Linked DNA regions of Elephas maximus indicus. The protein of the gene in region 1 purifies or fractionates together with the protein of each later gene. This does not show direct contact. Links are inferred from orthologs where the notes say so. Each region holds a gene or a part of one and is shown on either strand. Other genes may lie near its edges.

Evidence for each region.
Region 2: the proteins of SMAD3 (region 1) and RNF111 purify together in Homo sapiens (affinity purification with western blotting; 5 studies listed by BioGRID). This does not show direct contact. The link is inferred for Elephas maximus indicus from reciprocal best matches to the Homo sapiens genes SMAD3 and RNF111.
Region 3: the proteins of SMAD3 (region 1) and HIF1A purify together in Homo sapiens (affinity purification with western blotting; 4 studies listed by BioGRID and IntAct, with this or other methods). This does not show direct contact. The link is inferred for Elephas maximus indicus from reciprocal best matches to the Homo sapiens genes SMAD3 and HIF1A.

The regions. Positions count from the first base shown.
Region 1 is NC_064831.1:57,139,007-57,142,752, forward strand, and holds the start of SMAD3 (mothers against decapentaplegic homolog 3), read left to right. Parts: upstream 1-1,183; 5' UTR 1,184-1,701; coding exon 1,702-1,907; intron 1,908-3,746. UniProt on the Homo sapiens protein: Receptor-regulated SMAD (R-SMAD) that is an intracellular signal transducer and transcriptional modulator activated by TGF-beta (transforming growth factor) and activin type 1 receptor kinases.
Region 2 is NC_064831.1:49,069,206-49,072,951, reverse strand, and holds the start of RNF111 (E3 ubiquitin-protein ligase Arkadia), read right to left. Parts: upstream 2,447-3,746; 5' UTR 1,686-2,446; intron 1-1,685. Other genes in the region: SLTM (SAFB-like transcription modulator), read left to right, coding at 2,563-2,724, 3,602-3,689. UniProt on the Homo sapiens protein: E3 ubiquitin-protein ligase. Required for mesoderm patterning during embryonic development. Acts as an enhancer of the transcriptional responses of the SMAD2/SMAD3 effectors, which are activated downstream of BMP.
Region 3 is NC_064828.1:74,099,547-74,103,292, reverse strand, and holds the start of HIF1A (hypoxia-inducible factor 1-alpha), read right to left. Parts: upstream 2,866-3,746; 5' UTR 2,817-2,865; coding exon 2,782-2,816; intron 1-2,781.

The DNA.
Region 1 (3,746 bases):
TCTTTCTCACCACGGGCGTTTCCTGCTGTTAAAAACAAACAAAGGCTTTAGACACCGGGCTAGGGGCAGGGTCGGGGGAGAAGGCCGTAGGCATTGGGGAACTGTGGTGACTCCTGAAAGCGGCTGAGGGGCCTGTGGTCAAACGTCCCTGAATCACTCAGGTGGCGAGAAAAGCCCCGGAGCTCCCCCAGAGTTTGTTTGCTTCCCACCCAGGATAAGTTTGAATAATAAAGTTCTGGGGTACTACTCCCGTTCTGCGCCACTTTTTTCTGAGGCCCCTGCTTTGAAAACAAAGCTGTCTTCTGTTTCTTGGTTGCTGGATTTCGGATCTTTCTGTGTAAGACTCCACAACACCTTGTAAAGCAATTTCCCCCTAAAGGTAAATTCTAAACCGTCTTCTTTCATTCCTTCATCAACTCAGCAGATAGATGTCTTTGAGGTCCTTTCCATCGGGCACTTGGTTCCCAGGGCCCAAGGGACCCTTGGCTTCAGCTAGAGTCCGAGGAGTCCCTGAGGTCCCCAAATCTCCACTTCTGAGAGTCCCCTCCTACCCCCTAGCTCTCGCCTCCGCACTCAGTCTCGGGACTCTCAGCTGGTGTGATCTCACCGATGAGAGACTAAAAACAGCACCCGGGTCGCCCGCGCCGGCCAAGGCCTCGGAGCGGGATCAGCGCGCGCGGGGCCTCGGCCTTACGTGCGTCCCCTCTCGGGGCCGGGTCCTCGGGTGCACCGCTAGCCCTTGGCGGGACGGCGCCAACTTGCTGCAAGCCCAGCCCTCTCCGGCCGGCAACTCCAACAGAGCTTCCCGAGTGTGGGTTCCGAGAGGGGACGCCAGGGCCGGCGCCCGGGCCTCCCGCCTGGGGTCCCTCTCGCCGCTCCTTTCCCACGACTTCCTCCCGGCGCCTGCCCGACTTCGGGTCGCGGCCGCGCGGACGCCCGCGCGCTCCAGCCGGGGCCGCGGCAGCCCGGGTCGCCCACGTGGGCTCGCTAGGCGCGGGGCGGGGGCAGGCTGGGCGCCCTCCCCGGAGCAAGGGGCGGGTAGGGCGCCCGGGGAGGAGGCGGTGGGGCGCGGAGGAGGAGGCGGAGAGCCCCAGCGGCGAGGGGGCGGTGACAGGGTTTGGAAAGGAGGCTGCACGCGGATTTGCATGAAACACAGACTGGGAGCGGGCGGGAGCGGGAGCGCGGCGCAGGCACCGGCCGGCCCAGCGAGCGCGCAGCGAGTACGGAGGAGGAGGGAAGCCGGGAGGCGAGGCCGCAGAGGCGGAGGGATCTGCGCATCAAAGCGAGCGAGGAGTGCAAAGTTTGGCTCGGGGGTTGGACTTTCCTTCCCGGAGGCGGCACCCAAACTGCTACCCCGTGCGGAAACCCAAACTTTTTTCTGCCACTCCGAGTCTCCCGGCCGCCGCCTCTGCCCCGCGTTCGGGGCCTGCTCAAACCGGTGCCGCTGTCGTCCGCCCGCCTCTCCTGCCGCCCTTCTCCCCGCCGTGGGAGCCGCTCGGGGCGCAGGGCCGCGCGCCGAGCCCCGCAGGCTGCAGCGCCGCGGCTCGGCCCGGCACACGGGAAAGTTCGCGGAGAGTTGAGGCGAAGTTTGGGCGGCCGCGGCCGGCCCCGGCAGAACTCCCTTCTGCGCCCCCGGCGTCCCGCCGCGTCCAGCCCCGCCGGGGGCGCCCCTGGCCGCCCGCGCGTCCCCACCCCCCAGCCATGTCGTCCATCCTGCCCTTCACCCCCCCGATCGTGAAGCGCCTGCTGGGCTGGAAGAAGGGCGAGCAGAACGGGCAGGAGGAGAAGTGGTGCGAGAAGGCGGTCAAGAGCTTGGTCAAGAAACTCAAGAAGACGGGGCAGCTGGACGAGCTGGAGAAGGCCATCACCACGCAGAACGTCAACACCAAGTGCATCACCATCCCCAGGTGGGGGCCCCGGGGCCCCGGGGGGCGCGCCGGGCCCAGCCCCTTGTTGCGCAGGGTCGGCTGGGTGCATTTGGAGAGGGTGTGTTTGTGTGTGTGTGTAAGGGGGGGGCTGGGGCGCCAGCAGGAAGGGGGTGAGGGGACCCCAAATAAAACCCTTTCTGGCTTTGCAAAAGATTCAGAGCCTGGGGCTTCCACGCGGCGCTCTCGCTTCCAGACTCCACACTCGCTCTCCATCTCCCGGAAAAGGGGGTGCCGCTGGAATTGGCCGCCCCCACCCCGGGGCGCTGCGGGCTGGAAGTTGAGGCCCGCTTTGTTCGGCTCGGCGGGCCGGAGCCCCTCCTCTGCCGCTGCCTCCCGCCCCCGCGGCCCGCGCTCGTGGAGGTGGTGGTGTGTCTCCCTTTCTTTTCTTCAGCCCTGTCCCCCCTCTCCTCCTCAGCAGGAATGCAGTCCGTACAGCCGGGGCTGTGGGTGAGGAGCAGGAGCTCGTGATTGACAGATTCCTTCTTCTTTCTCTGTTTGCCTTCGGGATTAGCATTTTTATCGAGTATTTTTAGACTCGGTTGTGCCAGTCTCCCGCCCCCTCCGCACGCAGACACGCACTTAGTTGCAGTGCGCTGTTCTGACTTTCCAGTAGGAGAGACCAGTGGCGGAGAGTAGGGTCGTCCTGCTCTCCCCGCCCTGCACCGCCCGGCCCCGCACTGATTTTGCCCTCCTTTTAGCCTAGCAGATTGCAGGTCGTTGCAGAACAGAGCCGGCTAGATAACAAAACGCACCCCAAAGTGGGCCTCGCAAGGCCCTCGCATTCCTGCAGAGCCCTCTTTCCCAAAGCGCTTTACCATCTGTCTGGACCTCCTTTATCCTCCGGATCGCGCTCGCTGTGTCGGGCGGGAGCTCACAGATGGCTGATAGAAGGGGTCACTGACTTCTCTCCACTTCCTGGACCCTCGATTAGCTTAGTTGCGCCTGGCAGGGAATTGGGGTGGGGGCGGCAGCTTGACCTCCCGTCTCTCCCTCCCAGCCCCCTTTGAAGTCTGATTCTGAGCAAGGGCCTGGGGAGTGTGTGTGTGTGCGTGTGTGTGTGTGTGTGTGTGTGTGTAGGGGTAGTGGGGCGTTGTGGGGAGCCCCAGGCTGCAGAGGAACGAGTTGAGGGCCCCAAGACCAGAGTCCCAGATGGATTGTCATCCTTGCGTCAAGGCCAGGGGTGGACTCCATCCTTGGCCACCTGCTTGGGGCAGCTGTGCGAGGGCTGCCAGCCGTGGCAGGCAGGCACAAAGCAACATCTGTCCACGGAATCCCAGAGCAGGCCTCCTCTGGAAATAAATGCCACATATGGTGGGAGCGCTGACTTAAAAAATAATTTTTTTTAAACTGGGTGGATCCAGTCAATAAAGGGGGGAGGGAAGGCGGTGTGCTGTCTGGGAAGTGTGTGCTGGGTGTGTGATCAGGAGCCAGAACTGACTTCAGAGGAGGTGGTGTGATGGGCTGGTCGGAGAGACCTGGTTCTGCTCCCAGCTCCGGTTCTGAATTCTTCTTTATTCCTGTGGTTGGGGGAGGGTGTCTTACTTCTCCTATCTGAGGACGGCTCTGCAAAACCTGCCTTCTCCTTACCTGTCCAGGGTGCCCTGAGAACACCTTCTCACAAGTTGAAGCAGAGAAAAGGTAGCAATTATAGCCGAGAAAGTGTTTTACAGTTTACAGAGCACTTTCACATGGTTTTATGAAGTACTTAAAAGAAAGCAACCAACCAACCCCTGGAAAATAAAGCAGTTATGCTGAAGATTATCTCATTTTTAAAGCTGAGAAAACTTTGGAGGAGAGAAGTGAAAAGGCTTGGCATAG
Region 2 (3,746 bases), about 8.1 Mb from region 1:
AACCTGTAAAAAAGTTTAAATAGTATGCAACGAACAACCTTATACCCTTCATGCACTCAGCTGTTAACCGAAAGGTTGGAGGTTCAAGTCCACTCAGAGGCACCTTGGAAATAAGGCTTGATGATCTACTTCCAAAAAAGCAGCCACTGAAAACCCAATGGAGTCCAGTTCTACTCTGATACACATGGAGCTGCCATGAGTCAGAACTGACTTCCAAGGCAGGCAACTGGCAAGATTCCCTAATTGTTAACATTTTGCCACATTTGTTTTTGATTAATATCTTGTTATATTTACTTTCACAAATGGTAAAATATTGCCACATTTGCTTTCTTTCTCTCAACCATTTGAAAGTAAATTGCAGACAGAATGATACTTCACCCCTAAGACCTAGGACATTCTACATAACCAAGATATCATACTCTGGATCTTTAACACTGATATAACAACACAATCTAATGTATAGTCAAAGTTCCCATTGATTCAAAAATGTTCTTACATTTTTATGTTCTCTGATCCAGAATCTAAACAGTAATCAAGTATGATATTTGGTTGTCATGTCTCTTCAGTCATCTTTATTCTGGAACAGTTCCACAACTTTTTTTTCCATGATGTTGCTATTTTGAAGAGTCTAGACCAGTTAATTTGTAGAATGTCCTACAATTGAATTTGCCTGCATGTTTTTTTCATGATCAGATTCAGGTTACACATGAATACGACATAGGTGATGTGTCCTTCTCAAGTGCATCACAGCAGGCAGCATGTACCTCCATTTTAGATAACTCTATTACTAGATTTTAAGTAAAAAAAAAAAAAAAGGCCAACAGAAGAAAAACTAATTCCCTTTAAATATCCTGTGAGCTTTTGGTTAGTAAAAGCCCTCTTTCCAAGCAAGCATCCACAGAAAGTGGGAGGAGGAGAGTTGAGTGGAAAAGACACTGAAACAAGGAGATCTGAGCTTTAGTGTTAATTTGCTCAATAATTACCTGTGAGACCAAAACCCAAAACCCAAACTCACTGCCATCGAGTTGATTCCGACTCATCGCAACCCTACAGGACACGGGAGATCTGCCCAGTAGAATTTCCAAGGAGCACCTGGCTGATTCGAACTGACCTTTTGGTTACCTGCTGTACCACTTAACCACTACACCACCAGGATTTCCTACCTGTGAGCATCTAGGTAAACCTCTTAGAACGTTCATCTATTTAAAAAAATGAGAGAACTGGCTCAGATTACTAAAAAGTCTTTGAATTCTAAAATTCTGAGTGGAAACCAATGTGGTAGACAAGAGTTGGATTTACAATCAGGAGACCTGGATTTGATCTGTGTGAACGTGGACAAGTCATTTAATCACGTTAAGCCTCGCAGAGATTTACCTCACAGAGTTAGGACAGATTAAGAGGCTTATTGAATATCAAAGTGTATTATAAACCATAAAGAACTACCCAAATGTCAAGTATTAGTTTACAATTTCCAATCTTCCTCCTTGATCTAATCAAAGAGAGAAGAGCAAGCTAAAGTGAACCAGGCTTCGTCAATCTAAATTTTAAAGCCAGGAAATGCTAGCACATTTAACTGCGTGTCATGTCATGCTTGATTTATGGAATTTACAGGATAGCTTTTATTCCATAAATGTTTATGCTTTGATGATTAGTAGTATTGGCTAAAATTATGAATAGGTACTCACTTGTACAGGCCGGTCCTCCATAAGTAGTCACTCTTCTTGGAATCCCATATTTTAGGGGCAGAACAGTGAACACTGCATACGAGATGGCAACCAGTATCAAACTAATTTCCTCATTCAGTGAACTATTTCGTGTTGAGCCATTAGATCCTCCCCGAGGATGGCAAACCAAGCCAAAGCTGAGGTGGGGGTGGGGCTGGGGGTGGGGGGAGCCCTGGAATAAACTAAGGCTGAAGGCATGATGTTTTCCCGAGAGAGAGCCACTGGGACATGTCACATGGGCCGACCCTTTACATTCTTGGACTACCAGCTCTAGGGTTTCTTTCAGGCGTTTTGAAAAGGAAGGAACCCAGTGCATTAGTGGCCTGTCCACACTGACCACATTTTCGATCACTCAGCAGAGATACAAAGTATCTCCCTGGGTGAGGCTCGGGGCGTGCGCAGGTCTTTTAGGGTTGTGTTTAGTAACTCGCGAACTCTATGCCACGTCGTGCCTAGCACATTCTCATTGCTCAAGACTCTAGACGTTGCTAGAAAATGGCTAACGAGGCCGCGGGAGATCCGCGGCGCGGCGGACGTTGCTGCGGTTGGACCTGCCTGACGTCCCAGCCCACTTCAGGGGTCGCCCTGCCCAGGTGGCCGAGGGGGGTTCGGCGGAGCGCGCGGGCGCTGCCCCCTCAGTGCGCACGCGCGCCCGTCATCCGGGTGCCGACGGCGGCGGAAGTCGCGCTGGGCGGCGGGGGCGGGGTCCGCGGCACATTGTGCGCAGCGCCGTGCGTAGCGCCGTGCGTAGCGGCCTCCGCGGCCCGAGCCCAAGTTGGCGCTGCCGCCGCCGCCCTGCAGCCCACTCGCTGCTTCGGCAGCGCGCCGCTCTCCTAAAATGGCTGCCGCTACCGGTGCTGTGGCGGCCGCGGCCGCCTCGGATCAGGCGGAAGGGAAGAAGATCACCGACCTGCGGGTCATCGACCTCAAGTCGGAGCTGAAGCGGCGGAATTTAGACATCACCGGCGTCAAGACGGTGCTCGTGTCCCGACTCAAGCAGGTGAGGCCCAGCAGGTCCGGAAGCGGAGCGTAGGCCGCGCCTGGCGTCTCTGGGCCGCCGCGGTCCGCGGGGCGGAGCGGGCCCGGGCGCCGGCCGCGCGCGCAGGCCTGCCGGGCGCCCCTCCCCGCCCGGCCGCCGAGCGCGCCCCCGCTCCCCCGGGACGTCCGTGCCGGCTGCCAGGGCTGCGGGCGGGCGGGCGGAGCGGCCTCCCAAGGGCGTTGTGCGGAGCCGGGCGGCGCTGGGTCCCCAGCCTCAGCCATGGTGAGCGCGTGCTTCCCTGGGCCTCGGGGGGAATGGTTACTTTGGTGACTTCTGCGAAGTTACCGTTTAATGGTGCCCAACCGTTTCCTCCCCATGGGGGGGGGGCGGTAGTGGGAGTTGATGGGGCGGGGGGAGAGGTTTTGTTTTCCATCGGGTTTTCAGTTTTTGCATCCTCGCAGTAATCTCCTTTTTCATCCTTGATTACAATCATTCTGGCTTATTTGAGAGAGCGTTGGAATTGTGGTAGAGGAGGGATAAGTTTGCGTTGCAGATATTGGGAAAACTCCTTTTAGTTACTTTAGCAGCTGGCAGCTTTTCTGCGATTGAGCATATTAGGTTTTTTTGTTGAGTATGATAATATGTGATATATAATTTTCTCAAATTGGTAGAACCTTAAACTCCATGTGATTTTGATACCTAATAATGCCCCCCCGCCCCGCAAGCTTCTCTTACCTTTTTCGTGTGGTTTAATTGCTCTTTTTTGAAGTCAGTTTATGAAATGACTGGCAATTCTAACATCTTGAGGCTTGAGGTTTGCTGATTTTTTTTTCATTGCGTTTTTGTAAAATAAGTTTAGATAGATTGTGTAGCATATTAATTTCTCTTTCTAATGTAGGCTATTGAAGAGGAAGGAGGCGATCCAGATAATATTGAATTAACTGTTTCAACTGATACTCCAAACAAGAAACCAACCAAAGGCAAAGGTTGTTACTAGTTATGAACGTATTTTAAAATATATTTTGGTTATATAACTTGTGTCT
Region 3 (3,746 bases), on another chromosome or scaffold:
CTGATTTCTTCCAATCCTTCAAATTTTTTTTCCTCCCTAAACCAATACTGCTTTAAAAAAGATAAATTTCCCCACTCCAACTCTGGATACTCATTTAAAATGGAAAAATCGCATGGAATCCTAGACTATTCCCCTTATCTCACTCCCAATACATATATGGGAAATTCCTGGCCCTCAATCCCTCAATTATCTTTAAGTTCTAAAATTGTTAGTTAGAAAAGAATTAAAAAAGGCATCTTTTACCAACATCTCAAAAGACCCCCGGTGGTGCAGTGGTTAAAAGTTTGGCAGTTCAAATCCACCAGCTGCTCTTTGGAAATCCTATGGGGCAGTTCTACTGTCCTATAGGGTTGGAATTGACTCCATGGCAATGGGTTTTTTTTTTTTTTTTTTTTTTTTGGTTTAAAAGGAATCCCTGGGTGGCCAAACCATTAAGCATTCAACTACTAGCCCAAAAAAGAGCCCTGGTGGTACAATGGTTAAGTGCTTGGCTGCTAACTGAAAGCTCAGCAGTTCGAATCCACCAGCTGCTCCATGGAAGATGTGGCTCCCATAAAGATTTACAGTCTTGGAAACCCTATGGGGCAGTCCTACTCTCGTATAGGGTCGCCATTAGTCGGAATCAACTTCACAGCAATGGGTTATCAGCTCACAGGTTGGAGGTCTGAACACACCCAGAGGTGTACTGGAAGACAGGCAGGTCTGGCTTAGATCTGCTTCTGAAAGGTCACAGCCTTGAAAACCCTGGAGCAGTTGTACACCATGAATCAGAATTGACTCGACTTCAACTAATAACAATAACAACAAAAGTTGCTCAGTTGCTACCACTTAAATGTTCAACTTAATTTTTCAATTACATTAAGAACCCTATGGGGCAGTTCTACTCTTGTATAGGGTCGCTATGAGATGGCCAATGCGTTTTTTGTTTATATAGAGAAATATGAATCAATCTGATCCAAGGTTGTTAAATCTGATTGATTAACCAATCTAAGGCTCAAAATGATATATATTTTTTAATTTTAAATGACAGATGGGAAAGAGGAAAATCTAAGAGTTCCTTTAAAATTGGAGGTGATGCACAGGAGCTAATTCATGTTAAAGTTGCTTATAATATTCTCAACTGATCAACTGCAAAAAAAAAATGAGTATAATATACCATACAAAAAGGAAGTGACTGGTGCATAACTTAATACATTTTATTAAGTAGGATTCAAAGTGTAATAAGGACAAAAAGTTGGCACTACCCAGAGGTAATCTGCCTTAGGTTTACAATGTAGCAGCCTCACCATTTCATCAAAAGCATGGTAATCACTTATGCAAAATTAACTGCAATTAATTCCTGGCAATTCTTGGAATTAAGTCTAGGCCTGTTCTGTTTGCCCACTTCTTGAATTTTATGAGTGCTTTCTCTGGTATATGCAAATTGAAAGGCTAACATTTCTATTTAAATAAGACCAAGATACGATATCGACAAAATAACAAGAATATAAACAAGTTTATCTTCCGTTGATACTGATTAGAAAAATTAATCTCTCCCAGAGCATTGGAAGGACTTAACCGTAAATCCAGGCCACTATCCACAAACTCTGAATCTTCAATTCCTTAAAATGATTTCCTCAAAGGTTACAATACCAAAGTGGACCAAATTGGGGGGGAGGGGCCTGGGATCACTTTTAATTCCGCTGGTTCATCCCCGTCGCAATTAATCCTTCTATAATGTACCCCTTGGACTCAAACTTCAAGTGGTGTTTTATAAACTTGCAGTAAGTTATAATAGTATGATTATTTACTTATGATGTATTTGAAGGTTCTCCTTTAATATACTTCAATTTCAGGACCATGAGGCAGGGTTTGGAAAAATTCGCAACATTTCAGTGCTGCATTTCATTTGCTCTGGTCACATTTTTATTTTCAATCCCCATAAAACTGTTCCTCTAAATTTAACTAGCCGCTACATTTTCAACTACCATATTTTCAAGAATGAATGAGGCATATATTCATTTCGAACGTCGGGCTCTCGTGACAAGTGATAGGAACACAGTATTTAATCCTGGTGTCCTTTTTAAAACGTTATTTCTTTGAATTCCCGTGGCTCCGACTCTCCGTCTAGGCAAGTTTTTCCAGGCGATTAAAACAAAACCTGCACGTGCAAAACTAAAAAGTTAGTATTTTAAGGCCGTGGCGGCAAATCCCTAATGCACAAAGGCAAAGACACCCCTGGCGTCCGGACTAGTGCGGGGCAAGATCACATTCCACCTACCCTAGCCCCTACGTCGGAAAGCCCCGGGCCCGAGCCCCCTGGGAAGTCAGGACCAGCGTGCAGGGCCCGCCCCGGGGCCGAGTTTTCAATGGAAGCCGAGAGGAGGGGGGCGGGAAGGAGCGGAAGCTCCGGGTGCAAACGGCGGCGACCGACCTGCGGTTTATTTCTCTTCCCGGGGTTTTCAGACTGGGCACAGTCTGTCCCAGCAGGGACAGAACGCCAGCGGGGTGCCTGAGGCGGGTAGGAAGGCGACGCCGCAGGCCCCGGCCGACAGGGACGGAGGCCGCGCAGGCAGGGCTCAGACCCCGGCCCCTGAAAGCACTTTCGATGTGTCTTCCACCCCCCACGACAAGATGGCGACGTGGACAGCGGGGGAGCCGACCGGCGAGGTGGGGGAAAGAGGGGAGGGGGAGAACAGGCAGAAACAAAAAGGCCGGCCCCCCAGGAAAGCTGAGGCCCGCCCGCGAGCGCGGGGCGGGGGCGCCGGTAGAGAACGGGGCCGGCGGAGGGAACGGGCTTACTTTTTCTTGTCGTTCGCGCCGCCGGCGCCCTCCATGGCGAATGGGTCCCCGCGATGCCTTCGCGGCCGGCGGCCCCCAGGCTCGCTCCGGCCTAAGCACTGGCGCCCTCCACACGCGGAGAGACAAGAGGCAGGTCCAGAGGCGGGGGCTGCGAGGCGGGAATTCCCTCCCAAATCCAGAGGCGGGAGGAGGAGGCGGCAACCGCGAAGGTCCAAGGCTGGCTCGGAAGAGCCCCTCCGCGGGTTGCTTGTCGGGGCCGGGCCCAATGCACTGGCCGAACAGGCGGCGAGGGCGATCCTCGCCTTCCCTCAGACCAGACGGCTCTGTGCTCTGAGGCGCAGGGGCAGCGGCAGGGGGCGGACAAGGGCGGAGGCGCGCTCGGGCTCGCGGGGAGGGGCGGGGCGGCGGGAGCGCGCCCGCCCGCGGAGCCCGCCGCGCGCTCTTGCAGGCCCGCCTCACCTGAGGGGGAGGCGGGTTCCTCGCGAACCAATGGCAAGCGGAGCAGGCGGCCAGTCCCCACCCCAGCCCACGTCGCTCTTAGCCAATCAGGCGGCGGTCATCTGGGCACAGCTGGGACAGGCTCCAGAGCTCACGTGCTCGTCTGTGTGCAGCTGCGGGGGAAAGAGAAAGGACCTGGGTGGAGGCTGAGCCCGAGTCTGGGGACTGTGCGCCTACTCCTAGATGGGGGAGTGGCTGGCTTTGGGAGGCAGTGCCGAAAAGGGATTTCGGTTGCAGAGTACCAACCCTGCATTACATTTCCTGCCTCTAGATGCAGTAATCTAAGTCTCCCGCTCTCTTTCCCTCCTGGGGCAGTGCTGGGCAGGGTTGCCGCCCAGCTTTTCTGAGTTTTCAGTTCAAAAAAAGCAGACTTTTGGCGTCGTGGCAGCAAGCCCCATGGTTTTTTTGCTCAGAAATGTTACAACGGGGTCTTTCTTTGCCAGGTTACCCAACCACGGGCCACGTCA